Linked DNA regions of Pelodiscus sinensis. The protein of the gene in region 1 interacts with the protein of each later gene in a pairwise test. Links are inferred from orthologs where the notes say so. Each region holds a gene or a part of one and is shown on either strand. Other genes may lie near its edges.

Region 1 (8,950 bases):
AGAATTTACTTGTGAGACGAGAGCCAAAAGGACCCCTTCTCTCAGTCTGAGCCTGGCCTCTGATTTCTGCTCTCCACCAATACAGAGACTTCCCACCCCCAGTCTTTGAGCAAATATGGAAGCTGATTAATATTACCAGAACTCAGTTGTAGGCAGAAATTAAAGAGCATCATTGCCCATTCTGCTTTTCTGAAAAGCAAAGGACCTGGAGTTCTGCAACCAGGTTAATAAAATGCCCCTGTTAATCTCATGTCTTTTCTCTACAAGGGGCCATGTTTGATGTGCCCACTGTTAATATTCCAATGAAGTGTTTTTAAACAGGAGGATGCTGTCCATTAAGTGGCAAAAGCTTGCCCTGGAGACTGAATGTCTGCAAAGTGCTACACTGCTGCCTTTTTTAATGTGGAAGTGCAGCTCATCAAAATTACAGGTCCCAGTGTACTGTGTGTCCTGGCTGCTTAGCCCAAGATGGAGTGTTGCATGCTGGAATCTGTCGTCGCCATGGCCCTCCTCTCCTTTCTGATGAAGTTAGCTGTGCTTAGCTCCATCTGTTAACTAGTAGGCTCCTGGCCATACTCCCCATCAGAGGTGATGGGCAGCAGCTTGCCATCACCCGGTTTTATAATTAAATGAGCTAAAGTAGATAAGAGGAGCTATGTTGATCTACTTTGGGGGAGAGGAAATTAATTTCTCTTTGTTTACAGATTTTTTTTATTTTGTTTACTTGTAGGAAGCTAAATTATGATCTGACATCTTTGTTGGGAAGGGGTCACACATAAAATAGACTTCCACTTGATTTTGTAGCTATTTTCTTAGCATCAATGGGTTAATTGTAGCTTGCAGGTATAAAGGGTAACTTACTAAAATATTGGGGTGATTCCCAGCTAGAAGGGCCCACTGAGTGGTAGGGATGTTAAGTATCAGTTAATTAACTAATCAATAGACTTTCCATCAACTGCTTGATTAGTTGATAGGGGGGGTGCTTCTGCAGCGGCTCTGCACTTCAAATGTAGTAAGAGCCCACTGTGTATTCACCCCAGAAGCGTCCCAGAGATGTAGAGTGAACTGCTGCATATGTTTAATGCATGACCATTTAGAATTGGGCAATTTTGTTCATTCTTATTGAAATGGGGGATAGGGCACAGTATAATGATCAAAACTGGGCCCTAGGGGGGCCTCAGAACTAATACAAAGAGCCACAAGCCAGTTGAAAATGGCCCTTCCAGCAGCATGGTGCCCTTCAACAACATGCAAGGCACTTGCTTTAGCTCTGATTTGAAAAGAGTTTATTCCGCTACTGCATCACCAGCAGTCAAATGCTTCTTGAGTAATTTTACACTATCTATGATCACCACCACCCGCCCCGCTAGATTTCCTGCCCTGGGCTCCGCGCCGGCTTTTTCTGTGGGGAAGATAGGAGCAGCATGCGCGCTTCCCCAGAAGTCGGATGTGGCGCGGAGTCTTGGGGCTTCTCCTCTTCCCCTGCAGGAAGCCAACAATGGCTCATCTTATGGGAGGAGGGGAGGGGATGATGCTGGATCACCAGCACGGGCTGGGGTCAGAGTGGCTTGAGGGAGGGTTCAGGGAAATGGGCAGGGGGGTAACCTGGGGTGTCCAGCCCTGCTGTGGGCAGAGTCCCATGGGAATCCGGTCCATGGTGTCCTCGCCTTCGTGCCAGGGACCTAGCCACCCCAGGGCCAACATAGCTTTGGGGTAGGACCCCCCCCCCTCATTTTCCTCTCTCCTCAGTCACCCCGCTGTTGCCCAGCCGCAGAGCCACAGCCCTGGCAGCACTCCCCCTCTAGCACAGTGGTTCTCAAACATTTTGGTCCATGGACCACCTGGCTCAATGCAAACCTTTCTGCAGATCACCAGTTGCTAATGGAAACTCACTGTTAATTACATAATTATGCCCAAGCCATTTTGCTAGTGCTGCAGCTAAGGGGAATGGTTTAATTTAAATTATTAAACAGATGAAGCATTTTAATTTTCTCTTGTTAGTTTATCAAACTTCATTTTAAATAAAGTAAAATATCAATTTATGTCCGACACAAAAGGTTTCAATATTTTCTTTATTTATGGCAAGGGTGGGGAACTTCTTTTGGGTTGGAGGCCACTGACCCACAGAAAAATCAGTTGGGGGCCACACAAGTGAGAAGCAAAAAAACTACTCCAAAAACCCTCAACCCTCTGAGCCTGACCCCGACACACCCCAATTCCCCCATTACCTCCCCACCCTGGCCCCCACTTCCCTCTCACAGCGCAGGTGAGTCCTGAGTCTGTGCAGTGTCCCCGTGCCACCTGTTGGAAGCAGGCGGAGAGCCGGGGTGGCTCTCAAGGGCACCAGGGGTGGATTCCCCCACCCCATTGCTTCCTTCTCGCTCAGGCCCCCTCCCCCACTGCCTCATAACCTCCTTGGTGGTGGCTGCTTGGGGACAGTACTGGCCAGATCCCGGGGCTGGGCAGCCTTTTCTTCCCGCTCTTCCCCCCCCCCCCCCCCCCCCGCAGGTCCCCACATAGCAGCGGGGCTGGAGTGGGCGGAGCAGCAGCAGTGCATGTGCGGTACCTCAATCCTGCAGCTCTGCGCGGGGTTCCTGTGCCACCCGGTGGAAGTGAACGGGAAGCTGGGGTGGCTCGCGGGGGCAGTGGGAGCGGACTCTCCCACCCCATTGCTTCCTTCTCCTCCAGCTCCCTTGCATGCTGGTGAGGCCGGGGCAGGCGAAGCAGCAGCAGGGTGCATGCAGGAGTGGGGCCTCAATCCTGCAGGGACGGTGAGGGGCTGTCCTGGCTCTGTGCAGCATCTCTGTATTGCCTGGTGGAGCGGAATGGGGAGCCGGGGCTGCTCTCAGGGACACTGGGGGTGGACACGAGTGGGAAGCCAGGTCCAGTCGGGGTTTTCTTCACCTCCCCCACTCCCCTGTGCCCAGAAGCTGGAGCTGGTGCTTTAAGTCTTGAGGTTGTGCAGGCTTCAGAAGTGCATGGACTGCATGTGCCACTCAAAATTGGCTCGTGTGCCGCTTATGGCACCCGTGCTGTACGTTGCCAACCCCTGCTTCAGGACTGGTTGGATACCACAGAGATAGATGAATGGGGGTCTTTTGATGAGGCTTTTGTGCTCTAGAGCAGTGTTTCTCAACCAGTGGTACGAGTATCCTTAGGAGTACTTGGGAGAAATCGGGGGGGGGGGGGGCGAGGAGGGGGAACGTCAACACAACTGAAATTTGGAGAAAACTGAATTTTTATTTGACGTTTTACAGTGTTTTATTATTTTTGTACTTTTTACACCCAAAAATGTCGTCCCCCGCCTGGCAACGATTAGTTTGTTTAAACAAATGTGTTGCAATGGTAGAAAAAAAATTGTGTGTCTGCAAACTGTAGGTACTGGGGGTACTTATAAGTTGTTGTTTTTTAAAGGGGATACTTTATAAAAAAAAGGTTGAGAAACACTGCTCTAAAGGGGCTGAGAAGGACAGAGAGCCAGGACAGTGCTGGGGGGGAGGGACACTTTGCCTAGCAGTAGGGTGGTGACTTTAGCAGGGCAGAGGTTGTGTTGGGTCTGGTCTTAGCTGGAATTAAATCAGGAGGGAGGCTCAGCCACATGCTTCCCTCTCCTGACTGATCATTTGTGCTTTTACTTAAGGATAGCAAAATCCAAGAGAGAACCCACTGCCAAATACATGAGCTACAGCTCTGGAGCGGCTGCTGCCCTTTGCCCTGCTGTCTGGAGAGCAGCGACTCATCACAGGGATGGAACACTTACCCAGTGTTATGCTGCCTTTCCCTTTTCACCTTCATTGGGTGGGGAGCTCAGCCAGGAAGGCACACAATGCCAGACTCCTGCAGCTTGAGATGTATGAGGTGGGGGAGGGGACGTTACTCCTGTGTATGCTACCTTCTTTATTTTGGGGAAGTTGTCTTCCCCATGACTCAGCCTCTCAGTCCCTCTTCCACCTGCCTGGGACTCTTTACTAGGATCCTGCTTTCCACACACCCCAAACCAGGGTAGGTGGGTGGGTGGGTCAGTGGTGGTGGTGGGGAGGGGGAGATTTACACCTCCCTCATTATCTTGTTTGAGGGAATCTGTGAAGCTCTGGGCATTCAAGGACCTGCACTGTCATTCCCCACCTGTGCCCTGTCTGCAGAGCTGGGGGAGCTAGAAGCATGAAGCAGCCAGTCAGCTCGCAGCGCAGGGGGCTTTCAGCTCTGGTGGCAAGGGGCTTCCTCTGCCAATCTGCTGCTGGCTGTTTCAAAACACTCCAGTATCATGTCTGCAAACAACCAGTCTCTTTTTGCCAGCCATTGCTGACTCCTGGATTCCTCTTTCCCACTGCATACCTCTGGGCTTCTCATGTGACTATGACCCTTTGCTTTATTTCTCTGTCTTCTAAGCATTCACCACGCCTTCCAACTCAGTCTCTGAGAATTGTACTGATGTGCCACGTCCAAGTGAAGAAGTGAAATAAATCCAATCCTAATTACACTTGCTGTGCTCCCCACTGAATCCCTCTCCCAATTCAATAAATCCCCCTTTTTCTTTATCCCTTGTAGGTTTTCAATCCACACAGCAGTGTCTTTTTCCAATGCACTAAATCCTCAAGTAAGTGTGAGCTGCACTCTCAGTCCCAAATATGTGCATCATGTTGCGCTCCAACCATCCACTAAAAGTCACTCTGCCAGCAAGAGCCACCAGGGCTGGCAAACCTGACTATCCCCAGACTGCCTTTTGCTCATGGTTCCATTGCTCTCTAGGTGTTAATGTTGAGGGATTTTTCTTTCCCTGTTTGTTGTGTTGCTTTGGTATGGTCGGGTTAGATGCAGGTCTTGTGTCTCAGTTCCTTGGACCCACAATGGCGGGAGGGGGGGGGGTATTTTCCAGACTGGTTATGCAAACATCTTTTGAATTTGATATGGCCCTAGAGAGCCATTTATCATGTTACCACAGCAACATGCAGACACCTTGACCCATGCAGCTGGGAGGTGGGGTTTTGTGGTGATTCTGTGGTAAGACACATCTATGTTTGAGAATCTGCTCCCTGGAACAGCACAACCAGACACACTCGGCTCCTGACATCCTGCTGATGACAGCGTCTGACTGCTGCTCCGTGAGTAACCAACGGCAGGTGTATGCCTAGCGTACAGCCTCCCTAATGCTGGGGAAGGGCAGGGAGCAGCTGGCAAAGTAGTTCTGCTTAATGGTTCTGCATTTAATCTATTGCTGGGAAAGAAGGAATCTGTGCTGGAAATGGCAGTAGGGGATGTCAGAATAGTGGCATTCGGGTTTTGGAGATTGAAAAAGGATCCCTGCCATGGCTTTGGGGATGCATTAGCCACAGTAGCTAGAGCATGCATTGTACTGTTCAAATGCATTAGATTGAATCTGTATCTGAACAAGCACTGGTCTATTCTCCTAAAAGCCTTCTGAGTGCTCCAGAGCTGGCACTGCATGGGTGGGGAGTTTGCTCATTCCTTATTAAGCTCTACCAATGCTCCTATATCCTGCACCACGGCACCAGCTAATCCAGCCCTGACCATTATCCTCAGCTTTGCTAGGACACCTCCATTCTGACCTGCTTCACCCCTTGCTACTCTTATCCTTGGCTCTTTGTTTAGTTTTGGAAATGCCCCTCAGTCCTGGCCTGCAGTCCCCATCCTAGACTTCCACCTTGCACAGTTGTGCTGCTGGACCTCAATCATGACTCAACACCCCCTGCAATTCATATTCTGACTCTCAGGACTGTTACTCCAATTTGCCAATTTGAGAGGTGGTTGATGCCTCCCAACCTCTTCGTTCAGTGCTTTCTTTCGTTGAGGAGACTCATTTGGGACTCTTCCAGGAGTCACCAATTCTGCTGCTTACTTGCATAGATCTAGGTGCTATTAAGCAATACCGGGTCTCATCCACCCAAGGCATGTACTGCCTCAACATAGCTCTCTGCCCCTGCTGGTCTAGACTGCAAGAGATCAGGATGTACCTACAGCTTGAGACTCCACCAGAGTCATCAGTTCGACTAGAGACCAGACCTGAGACCATTCCCAGCATTGTTTTCCCAGAAAGCTCCTTGATTAGACTCTGGACTTTGCTTTGCAGGCTGATATGTCATGATGGCAGCAAACAGAAGCCAGAAAATGCAGAACCAGAACGGAAACACGAAGGTGAGTGTGGGCAAGAGATGGAGAGGCAAAGAAGGCTGCTGTGTACGAGCAACATCAGATGGACCCCTGGCTTGAGAAGTAGGAGGTTGCTAATGCTACCAGGGGAGTATTTGATTCAAATATTATACTGTACTGTCTTCTGTTGCAAAAGTCCGTATCATCTTTGTAACAGATCAGCAACTATAGCAATATACAGTTACTGTTGGAAAAAATAATTATAACATTTAGCAAGATCTGTGTTTTTAAATGCTTTCTCTTAAAATCAAGTTCTTAGACAAAATCTTTGATTCAATCAGAGTTGGAAATATCAGTTAAATTAAGCAGCATTCAAACTGTAGTTATTAAAACCCCCAGTGTATTCATGCCCCCTGCCAAAAAAACTAAAGCAGCTCAAAAAATTAAAGCCTAAAAACTCAGTAGTTCAGATTCCAGAAGCAACCTTAATTCTGACTCTGTCTGTCCGTCAACAATGTTCAGTGACGGTCTTTACCCACTTTCACAGTATGGACCACAAATATGCTACCATGCTGAGAACCCAGTACAAATGTAAAGAACCACAGCCATTGGGATGGCCTTGGTGTAGGAGTTACATAATTGCTAGCCCTGGAAATGCCATCAACTCCCATATTTACTGCACAAGCAGACCTATAACCTACTCTGAACACATATGGCACTGATCTGAATACAAGCTGTTCCCTCTCCCCTCCCAGACACACACACAGCCTCGCAGCTATCATTCACCAGGCATTGATTAGTCCAGTCTACTCCATTCCTCCTGCCACACTCGGGTGACTTGGAGAACCTCTCCTCTTTGTAATGCCCTGATCAGACTCATGTAGTGTAGTGCTGCACTGGCAATGAATGTCTGACATAAAGTGGCAGAGCCTAGGGGTTTTCACTTAACTAGGTATGTCTTGATTTTTACTAGGAATGTGAATGACTAGTTGACTATCCAATAAGCAAATGCTTATCGAATAAACTAGTCGCTTCTATCAGAAAGAGGCAGCAAGGTGGGGGGGGGGAGAAGAGGGTGCTTCAAAGCGGCAGCGCTGTGTGGAGCCCGGGAACAGACCCTGGGCGTCATGCGGCGCTGCCACTTTGAAACACCACATGCAGCCCAGGACCAGCTGGGTACTGGACTTCCAGCTGGCCCCAGGCTGCACGTGTCATTTCAAAGCAGCAGCACCGTGCAGAGCTTGGGTTCAGCTGGGGACTCTCCCACTGACCCCAGGCTCCCACGGTGCTGCTGCTTTGAAATGCCGCAGGGAGCACGGGGCTAGTGGGGGACTGCTTGAGTTCCCCACTGGCCCCATGCTCCTCACAGTGCTTTCACCTTTGAAGTGTAGCAACAATCTGTTGCTACACTTCAAAGGCAAAGTTGCACTTATCGGCTAAGCAGCTTCCGGTCAGCGATGCAGCAGGGTTGCTAAGGCAGTTTCCTGCCTCTCCTGGCACCACAGACCATGATGTGCCTGAGAAGCAGCCAGCGGCCTGTTCCCAGCCAATGGGAGTGCGAAGCTAGTGCTCAGGGTAGGGGCAGTGCACGGAGCCTTGTGCACTCTCCTCCCCCCTTCCGTCCTCTCGCCCCACACCCCAGCCACACACACACCTAGTAGAAAGGCCTGTTGCTGTCCACTCCTGGGACTAGGGTTGCCAGGTGTCTGGTTTTGAACCAGAAAGTCCAGCATTTGAGGCTTCTGTCCAGGAAATAAATTGAGAAAATACCGGACATATAAACTAATTAGATTAGTTTGATTATTACGAGTATCAGTACGTAGCTGCGTACTGCCTGGCTGGTAGACATGCTCACACTGCATGAGTCACACTGTGTGAGTGTGTCTACCAGCCAGGCAATACGCAACTACGCAGTAGGGAGGAGCGAGCGCGGGTGGGACGGGATGGAATCCCTGGGGCCGGACTCACTCGTGCTCCTCCGGGACCATGCGCAGGACAAGCAGCTCCCCGGAATCTGCGTGTGACCGGGCCCAGGCCAGCCCTGCTCCCCACCAGCCAGCCCTGTTCCCCCCAACCCTCTCCCGGCCAGCCCTACTTCCTGCCAGCCGGTTCTGTCCCAGCCAGCCCCACTCCCTGCCGGCCAATTCTTTCCCCCTGCTCTCCTCCCCCTCCGTCTCTCTTCCCCCCCCCCCAGCCTGCCCCACTCCCCCTCACTGCCTCCGAGCCAGCCCCACTGCCCACCGGCCAGTTCTCCCCAGGCCAGCCCCACTCCCCCCACCCCCGTCCTGGCCAGCCCTGCTTCCTGCTGGCCGTTCACCCCCTCCCCCGATCTCCTTTGGCCAGCCCTGCTCCCCCCGCTCCCCTCCCGGCCAGTTCCCCCCCCCCACCCCCCATTTGAGATCAAGTGTGTCCGGTATTTTTTTGTTAAGCCATCTGGTAACCCTACCTGGGGCACGGCGCAGTCTGTAGTGCCAGGAAAGCACCTCTGTTGGTCACTTGATCATCCTGCAACAGTGAGACCCAGGGCCTGACATTCCATGACCCAGTACTGAATCGCGACCCGTAGTTTGAAAACCACTGGTGCAGTTGATGGGGGAGACCTATGTGGCCAATGTTGTCACTAAAATGCTTGTTCCCATATTAGCAAGTGTTTCCTGCAGGGCTCTCTGTCGTGCACAGCTCCCTAACTTGTCCCCTTCTTGCTGCACACAGGAAAATGTGCTGCAGAGGGTCTTGCAGCTGCCAGTGGTGAATACAACCTGTGAAAGCCTTCAGAGGACATACAGCAGCACCAAGGAGGTACACCCACTCGTGGCATCAGTGTGTGAGGCCTATGAGAGAG
Region 2 (8,858 bases), on another chromosome or scaffold:
AAGGGCTAGCCTTGTTAGTCTTTAAAGGGTACGTCTACACTGCAGGACAAAGTCGAGTCAAGATACACAATTAGGCTGTGTCTAGACTGGCCAGTTTTTCCGGAAAATCAGCCACTTTTCCGGAAAAACTTGCCAGCTGTCTACACTGGCCGCCTGAATTTCCGCAAAAGCACTGACTTCCTACTGTAAGAAATCAGTGCTTTTTGCGGAAATACTATGCTGCTCCTGTTCGGGCAAAAGTCCCTTTTGCGCAAAAGTTTTGCGCAAAAGGGCCAGTGTAGCCAGCTGAGATTTGTTTTCCGCAAAAAAAGCCCCAATCACGAAAATGACGATCGGGGCTTTTTTGCGGAAAAGCACGTCTAGATTGGCCATGGACACTTTTCTGCAAAAAATGCTTTTGCAGAAAAACGTCCGTGCCAATCTAGACGCTCTTTTCTGAAAATGCTTTTAATGGAAAACTTTTCAGTTAAAAGCATTTCCGGAAAATCATGCCAGTCTAGACGTAGCCTTAATGTAGCTGAAGTTGTGTAGCTGAAGTCAAAGTAGCTTAACTCTTCTTTAGGCACTGTCTATACAGCAGGAAATTGAAGGAAGAACACTCTTCCTTAGACTTCCCTTACTCTTCATGAAATGAGGGTTACAGAAGTTGGAGTAAGAAGCTCATTATTTTGAAATGAAATAATGGACTTGATGTGTAGACTCGCACTCTGTAATTTTGAAATAACATAAGTTATTTTGAAATAAGCATGCAATGTAGATATACCCTAACTGAAAAAAAAATAAAAAACAAATGGTCCTGCAGCACCTTAGAGACTAACAAAAGATGTAGATAGTATCATGATATTTCATGGGCACTAGCCACATATTCAGATGAATGGAGCAAGGGATCCAGAGATCTAATAGCTTTTCACTGATATTTCCTGTTCTGTAAACTTTTCCTTCTTTGTTATTTAATTAACATAAATAATAGCCAAGTGAACATATTATACACATATGTATGCATATTGATGGGGTATTTACACCATTAGTTTCTAGGGTTCACAACTTAATGATAATTCTAGATCCCCTTTTTAGTGCTGGCTGATCATATTTGAACAGTAACCCACTTGAGATTTTACCATCTGTGTCTAAATAGAAATGCTTAATCCTTCTTTTTAGACACAGACATTGTCACTGTTATCCAGGCCTTTGCTGTCTTAAAATTAGACTGCTGCTAGTGCTGCAACATGCCCTATATATTGCTACATTTAAAACCATTTGGAAACAGAAGCTGGTGCAGAAAGCACTAATTCTTTTAGGCTTACTCTATGCTACTATGGGTCGTTACACAACATCATCTTCATGAACATAGTGGAAGTTACAGCGATGTTCTCACTGTGGTAAATTTACAGCTGACACTCTCTCATCGACTCCACTTACTCTTCTTATTTTGATGGAGGACTGGAGGAGAGTGCTCAGAAAGCTAGACGTGATAAATCGACCCCCACGGGTTCTACCACTGCCCAACGATCTTAGGGGTAGTGAAGGTATGCCCTTACTGAGCTGGGCATCTGGATAAGCACTTAAGGGTGTGTATTTTGACTTATAAACCCCTAAATGGTTTGTGACCCACTCTCCTGAGAGATTCCCTCAGTCTTGCACATCTGTGGTGGATGTGTGTGTCATATTTACACACACACACACACACACATTAATGCATAACTATGGCCACAGCATTTTGTGCAACCAATCCTTTTAAATAGTTTTGCCTGAAAATCTTTGACATTTTTCCTGATTTAATGAGGCACTAAGCCTCATCGGTCTTCTTCTAATGATCCCAAATGGAAGCTGTATAGGGATGGATGGTGGTTCTTAACAAACCTAAACCAGAAGTTGCTATATCAGCCACAGGGTTGGTAAAAGGTTCAAGAAGATTCATTAGTACTATTTGAGTACTCCTCAATGAGCTCTCCTTTAGCTGTTGGTGTATTAAAGACTGTTAGTGTATCAAAAAATAGTCTACTTGTGTGGAACTAGTTTTTGCAAACACAGGAGTTCTCAATCAGGGGTACACATACCTTTACGGATATGCAGAGGTCTTCCAGAGAGTACATCAACTCATCTACTTATTTGCTTAGTTTTACAACAGGTTACAAAAAACGCACTATGGGTTGAACCTCTCTGGTACTGGACTCTCTGGATGTTGCTGGACCAGAGAGCCTCAGCTGTGGAATCCTGGCAGCTCTGGCCCCAAGGCTGTGAAGTCCAGCAGCTTTGACCACCAGGGCTGCAGAGCCCCAATGACCCTTGAGCAGCTGAGCCCCAGCAGCCCCAGACTGGTCGCAAAGCTGGGAGCCCAGGCAGGTAAGCATGGCAATCTGCTGATAGATACCAGAGAGTCCAGAGTTTGCCAGCAGAGAGGCCATCCTCGGTTCAACAAAATCCTTCCTTTGGGACTGGTCAGGTCCCGAGGGTGCCAGATCAGGGAGGTTCAACCTGCAGTAAAGTCTATACAAATGACATTTCATACAATGATTTGTTTATTCTGCTTCATATACCATACACTAAAATGTAAAAGTATAATATTTGTTTCAAATGATTTATTTTATGATATGGTAAAAATGAGAATTTTTTCAGTAGCAGTGTACTGTTTGAAAGTTCTGTATTTTAATGTCTGATTTGTAAGCATATAGTTTTTAAGTGAAGTGGAACTTGGAGTTAAGACAAATCAGGGTCCTGAAAGGGGTATAGTACAGGAAAACTCTATTAGTCCAGCATCCAATGCTCCGGGACTCCTGATGGTCCGGCACCATCAGGAACCCGGAAGTGCTGGGGCAGCCGGACAGGCTTCCCCCATTCAGCTGCTGCTGAAACTGACCATCAGCTGAATCGGGGAAGCCGGGAGCAGAGCAGCTGGGGTGCTACCGGGTTGGTCTGGTAGCACTGCCCCTCGGGGCTGCGGGACCAACCCGGCAGCACCCCAGCTGCTCTTGGGGATGCCTGGGGGCAGAGCAGCTGGAGTGCTGCCGGGTTGGTCCCGCAGTGCCAAAGGACGGCAATGCGGGACCAACCCGGCAGGACCCCAGCTGCACTGCCACGGGCTTCCTGGAATCAGCCGCTGATCTGTTTCAGCAGCGGCTGAATCAGGGACCCCTGGGGCAGTGCAGCTGAGGTCCTGCCGGGTTGGTCCCGCAGTGCCGAGGGGCAGCGCTACAAGACCAACCCAGCAGCACCCCAGCTGCTTTGCCCCAGGCATCAGGATTCAGCCACTGCTGAAACTGACCAGCAGCGTCAGTTTCACTAGCAGGCTGAATCCTGATGCCTGGGGCAGAGCAGCTGGGGTGCTGCCGGGTTGGTCTTGTAGCGCCGCCCCTCGGTGCTGCGGGACCAACCCGGCAGCACCCCAGCTGCTCTATTGCAGGTATCCCCGATTCAGCTGCTGCTGAAACTGACCAGCAGTGGCTGAATCAGGGACTTCTGGGGCAGAGCCTGACTATTGTAAGGGGGGGGGCTATGACGGGTCTGGGGTGGCATCCTCTCCCACCCCACTCCAGACCCCTCATAGCCCCCCCTTACGATAGTCCGGCATATCTGATAATCCGGCACCCCCTGGGTCCTAAAGGTGCCGGATTATCGGAAGTTTACTGTAGTTAAGTAATTTTGAGAGCCACTATGCCGGTCAGAAACCAGGATTCACTGAAATTCACTTGTGTTCTTTCCCTGAAGCACTGTTGCTGGCCACTGTGGAAAAACAGCATACTGGATTACACCAACTATTGGTATGACCCAGCGTTGGCTGTTCACTGTCCTAAAGGGAAAACAAAGTAGGCAACCTCAGGGCTGAATGTGGGCTGTTGGGGTTCTATGGGTGGCCTGCAAGACATTTTGTTTACCAGTTGCCAACGCGCAGAGTTGCCAGATTCTGCCGGTTTCTGTTTGCATCATTTTTTCCCTACTGGTATTACTAAAGTGACACACACGTGAAGCAAGGGCACGTAAAGTGAGGTGTGTGCCGATTGCACACATTGACTGTGACAGTTGTGTGCTCCCTCTGCATCAAATCAAAGCACTGCTATGGTTCAATCATGACACCCCACAAATTCCAGGTACACAAGTGCAGTGAGCTTTCCTGGGCGACTATCTTGCGCCCCACTGAGATGAAGGAGGGTCACTCACATGCAGCCCACACAGTAGCGCAGACTGCCCATGGCAGGTCTGGGGTGCATTTAAGTGTACTCTCCACATCACTAGCACCCAGGCCATTTGAGGCCTCGACCTCTGGCACAGCATTAATTACGTCTGTGAATAGGCCACACGCAAAAGGCGCCTTTCTTCTCTCCTCCTCTCACCCCCGCCTGAATGCGCCCAGCCCGGAGAGCTGCGCTAGGAGAGAGCGCTCCCAAAGGCCTCCGCACCCGGCGCGCGACCTCCACGCTCCACCGCGAGCTGCCCGTCACCCCGCCAGCCCAGGGGGCGGGTCCCTGGGACGCTCTAGCCTCGCGCGTTGGGGCGGGGCGGGACGGGTCGACGCGGCGGGGATGACGCGGTGGGCGGGTCCCGGTCCCGTGATGGCTGGCCCTGCTGCGCTCGCGCTCTCACTCGCGGCCGCCTCCCCGGCACCAGCTCTCGGCCGCCGCGCCGCCGCCATGGCCGAGGACGGGCACCTGGAGGCGTCGAGCGAAGGGTGAGCCGGGACGGGACGGGGCGGGGTGACGGCGCCACAGGCGGGGGCAGCGGGCCAAGGGGACGAAGGGACTCCCCCCCCCCCCCCGCCCGTGTACACCCCTCCGCCCCATCGCAGACCCTCGCATCCCAGCCGCTGTGGGCTCCTCTGTGTCCCTGCCTCCCTGTGCTTACTGCAAGCCCACCGCTGTGATAGTTGTTGCTGCGGTTACAGCCGCCTGCGGGCGCCTCACATCTCCCCCCTGCTCCAGCCCGTGTTAGCTGCTGCTACTAAAAAAAAACAACCTCTTTTGTCTCTGGTGCGCCTGTCGCTGCATCTCGCCGCTGCCTTCCTCTTCCCTTCCGCACAAACTTAGAACAGCTCCCCTTCAAACACATTGGCCCGACCCATCTTCCTGCTACTATCCCTTTCCTTCCCCAGCAGGCTTTCAGAAGGAATCGTTGTCTTCAGCTTTCTGCGATGATGTGCCTTATGCTTTTGAAACTGTCTGTTCCTCCATTGTAGTATGTGGGCCAAACAAACCCCCCTCTCTATTACAGAGACAAGGTGGGTCTGGTGAAGTAATAACTTTTATTGGATGAACGTCTGTTGGAGAGAGAGACAAACTTTTAAGTGAATAAAGATATTACCTCACCCACATTGTGTCTCCCATATCCTGGAATCAACACAGCTGTAACACCCTTAACAAAATACAGGACTATGTAGCACTTTAAAGACTAACAAGATGGTTTATTAGATGATGAGCTTTCGTGGGCCAGACCCACTTCCTCAGATCAAATAATGAAAGAAAATTGTCACAACCATATATACCATATATATGGCTGTGACTATTTTCTTCCACTATTTGATCTGAGGAAGTGGGTCTGGCCCATGAAAGCTCATCATCTAATAAACCATCTTGTTAGTCTTTAAAGTGCTACATAGTCCTGTATTTTGTTTTAGCTACACCAGACTAACATGGCTACATTTGTAACACCCTTAAGCATTCTTCTTAAAATACACACTCTGAAGATCCCAGTTGATAATTTACCAAATAAGTTTTAAAATAGCTATGCTTTATCTTCTGATTCAGTGCATTGGTTCTGAACTGCATTAGTTGTTTAACTTGATCTTTAAGGGTGTTAAGGTGGGTAGTGGTGAGTGCTCTGTTTCTGTCATCAGCACCATGCAGGATTGTGTTCTTAGAATATAAGATCTTTAGGGTACAAACAATGGTCTACATTTTCATAATAAGGGATTATTGATGCCCAACATGGCATTTTTTAAAAGGGGCATGATTTTCAGAAAATGCTCAGCTCCACTGTCTGAAAATCAAGCCCTTTTTAAGGTCTTTAAAATCAGAAGCCAAAATCACTAGTCACTTTTGAAAATGAAAGCTTATGCCTCCTCTTCATACATCAGAAAGTACATTGATAGTGATGAATTGGCTGAGCTTTGAACAGTTAGCTGCAGTAATATAAATACTCTGTCTTAATAGTAGCCAGTCCTAAAGCTTAGTCATCTTTTGAAGGTGAACAAGCTTGGTTAACTGCCAAAAAAAAAAAATTAAACTGTGTGAACTAATAAAACACTAATTTTCAATTTTAAAATTATTTGTCTTGGTGGATTCTATTAAAATCATAGATTAGGTACAGTTCAATATGACAGGCGAGATCAAGTGCATATAAAGGAAAAAACTGAAGTTTAATCTCTTTTAAACCAAATATATTGAGTAGTAACTCAGCTATTACACCACAAGTTCAACTAATTGACATCTGGTAACATGAGCATTCTATGGGAGAGTAGTGATGATAGCACAGTAAAATTGCTACAAAATACATTAATCAAAACATGCAAAGCCATACAGCTGTAATAGATAATCTGATCTGAAGATAGTCTTCAATATAAAATAAAATAGAAATACAGTAAAACTCCATTGTTCCGGCATCCAATGCTCCGGAATTCCTGATAGTCCAGCACCATCGGGAACCCGGAAGTGCTCCGGGCAGCTGGACAATTGGAGCTGCTCTGCGCCCAGCTTCTCCGATTCAGCCACTGCTGAAACTGACCAGCAGCTGAATCAGGGAAGCCGGGGGCAGAGCAGCTGGGGTGCCGCTGGGTTGGTCCCGTAGCGCAGCCCCTCGGGGCTGCGGGACTAACCTGGCAGCACCCCAGCTGCTCTTGGGGACACCTGGGGCAGAGCAGCTGGAGTGCTGCCAAGGGGCGGTGCTACGGGACCAACCCAGCAGCACCCCAGCTGCTCTGTCCCAGGCATCCCCAAGAGCAGCTGGGGTGCTGCCGGGTTGATCTCACAGCACCGAAGGGTGGTGCTACTGGACCAAGCCGGCAGTACTCCAGCTGCTCTGCCGCAGGCATCCCTGAGTCAGCCACTGCTGAAACTGACCAGCAGCGGCTGAATCGCGGATGCCTGGGGCAGAGCCGGACTATTGGAAGGGGGGGCTATGAGGGGTCTGGGGTGGCATCCCCTCCACCCCACCCCAGACCCCTCATAGCCCCCTCTTCCGATAGTCCGGCATATCTGATAATCCGGCACCCCCTGGGTCCTAAAGGTGCCGGATTATCAGAAGTTTACTGTAGCTTGTATGACAGCATTCTATATAAAATGACTGGTTACTGCTAAGTTTGCATTAAATGTAGGGAGAAGTTTTAAGGGTAGAAAATGTTTTGTCTTCATCTAAGGTAAGTTGGAATAACTCTCTCTAAAAATATCTTTGGGTTTTTTGGTGAATTTAGATGGAACGGCTAGCAACAACTAGTTAAAACTTAAGAGTGCCTTGGAATAATATATAGAAATATGTTGTAGGAATCAGTACAATTCCAATATTCATAACTATTTATTGTCTTTTTGAGACATTTCTGAATTTGGGATATAACTCTTGGGGCATGTTGTTGGATATCTTAGACTTTTTACAATCTCAGTATGAATGTATGTAGTTTTAAAATCTTCAGTAATGAATTCAGTAGGCTTAAATTCATAAGGTGCTTCTAGTAAGACACTTGGGGTACTATACTGCATAAGATTCAGAGTGATTGACATGATGTTTAAAGTAGGGATGTCAGTGTGTAGACAACTACATGATTAACTGGTAAGCCCGGGCATATCGGTTAATTTTGTCGACTACACACATTCCTCCTCCTTTCTCCCCCCTATTTCCCTGCTGTCTCTGTATCAGAGGCAGCAAGGGGTGGGGCAGGAGCCCGTGCTCCTGGAGAGTCAGCTTTTAAACCGGATACCAACAAGCACCAGATCCGCCTGTTCCCTCCCTGCTGTGCTGCTGCCTCCAGGGACCCTCCTTTCCCTTCCCCCACCTGTACCTATGGATACACAGGAGGCAGCGTGTGTGGCAGGGGGCTTCGAGAGGGGTCAGGAGAATACTGACTGCCAACCCTGCCCCAGGGGTCTATTGAATAGTTGTGTAATGGCAAAAATTTGATGTGGTTAAATGATTATTTAATTAGACACCATCTAACACCCCAATTTAAAGGGACACTGCAGATTTGTCTGACTGTCACACCTTAAATTTTAAAATAAAGCATAAGTAGGAGGATAAAGAATCATGCTCCAAAAGATCTGCACATAGTCCCTTTGCTCAGTTTTTCTTTAGCTTAGAAATGAAGATTCAAGACACATTAATTCAAAACAGTGTGACTGCTCTGCAGGGCCTTGTCTTAGCCCTTGTCTCCATTATCACTTATCAGGTGAGCCTTCTCCACTCCCTTCCCACTCAACTCTTGCTCCTTTAAAATGTCTACCTCTTAAGCTATCTACCTGATAGTAAAGGGCTCTCTGCGTGTATGCTCTTCCATGATCCAGGGACTCTTCTAGGGATATAAATGACTCGTCGACTATCTGTTAAGCAAATGCTTATCGGATAGTTGACTCCATAGTCACTTCTGCCCACATACACACCCCGCCTCTATCAGAGAGAGGCAGCAAGGGGGGAGGAAAGAAGGAGCCCCTGGTTCCCCCTAGCACCATCTTGGCAGGGGAGGCAGAGGCACAGTGGGAATCAGCGTGAGTGGGGACTACTTGAGTCCCCTGCATGTGCTGGTTCCCACTGCAGGCACTTTTGCTTTTAAAATGAACAAGAGCCCTGTAGGGCTCTTGTACATTTCAAAAGCAGAAGTGCCACAGGGAGCATAGAGTGAGCAGTCCCCACTCGCCCCATGCTCTCTGTGGCACCCTGGCCCCCCT

Evidence for each region.
Region 2: the proteins of PLIN1 (region 1) and ABHD5 interact in a protein complementation assay, tested with the Homo sapiens proteins (3 studies listed by BioGRID, with this or other methods). The link is inferred for Pelodiscus sinensis from reciprocal best matches to the Homo sapiens genes PLIN1 and ABHD5.

The regions. Positions count from the first base shown.
Region 1 is NC_134724.1:16,614,096-16,623,045, reverse strand, and holds the start of PLIN1 (perilipin-1), read left to right. Parts: upstream 1-4,867; 5' UTR 4,868-5,102; intron 5,103-6,088; 5' UTR 6,089-6,099; coding exon 6,100-6,153; intron 6,154-8,820; coding exon 8,821-8,950. UniProt on the Homo sapiens protein: Modulator of adipocyte lipid metabolism. Coats lipid storage droplets to protect them from breakdown by hormone-sensitive lipase (HSL). Its absence may result in leanness. Plays a role in unilocular lipid droplet formation by activating CIDEC.
Region 2 is NC_134712.1:182,750,281-182,759,138, forward strand, and holds the start of ABHD5 (1-acylglycerol-3-phosphate O-acyltransferase ABHD5), read left to right. Parts: upstream 1-4,507; 5' UTR 4,508-4,517; coding exon 4,518-4,663; intron 4,664-8,858. UniProt on the Homo sapiens protein: Coenzyme A-dependent lysophosphatidic acid acyltransferase that catalyzes the transfer of an acyl group on a lysophosphatidic acid.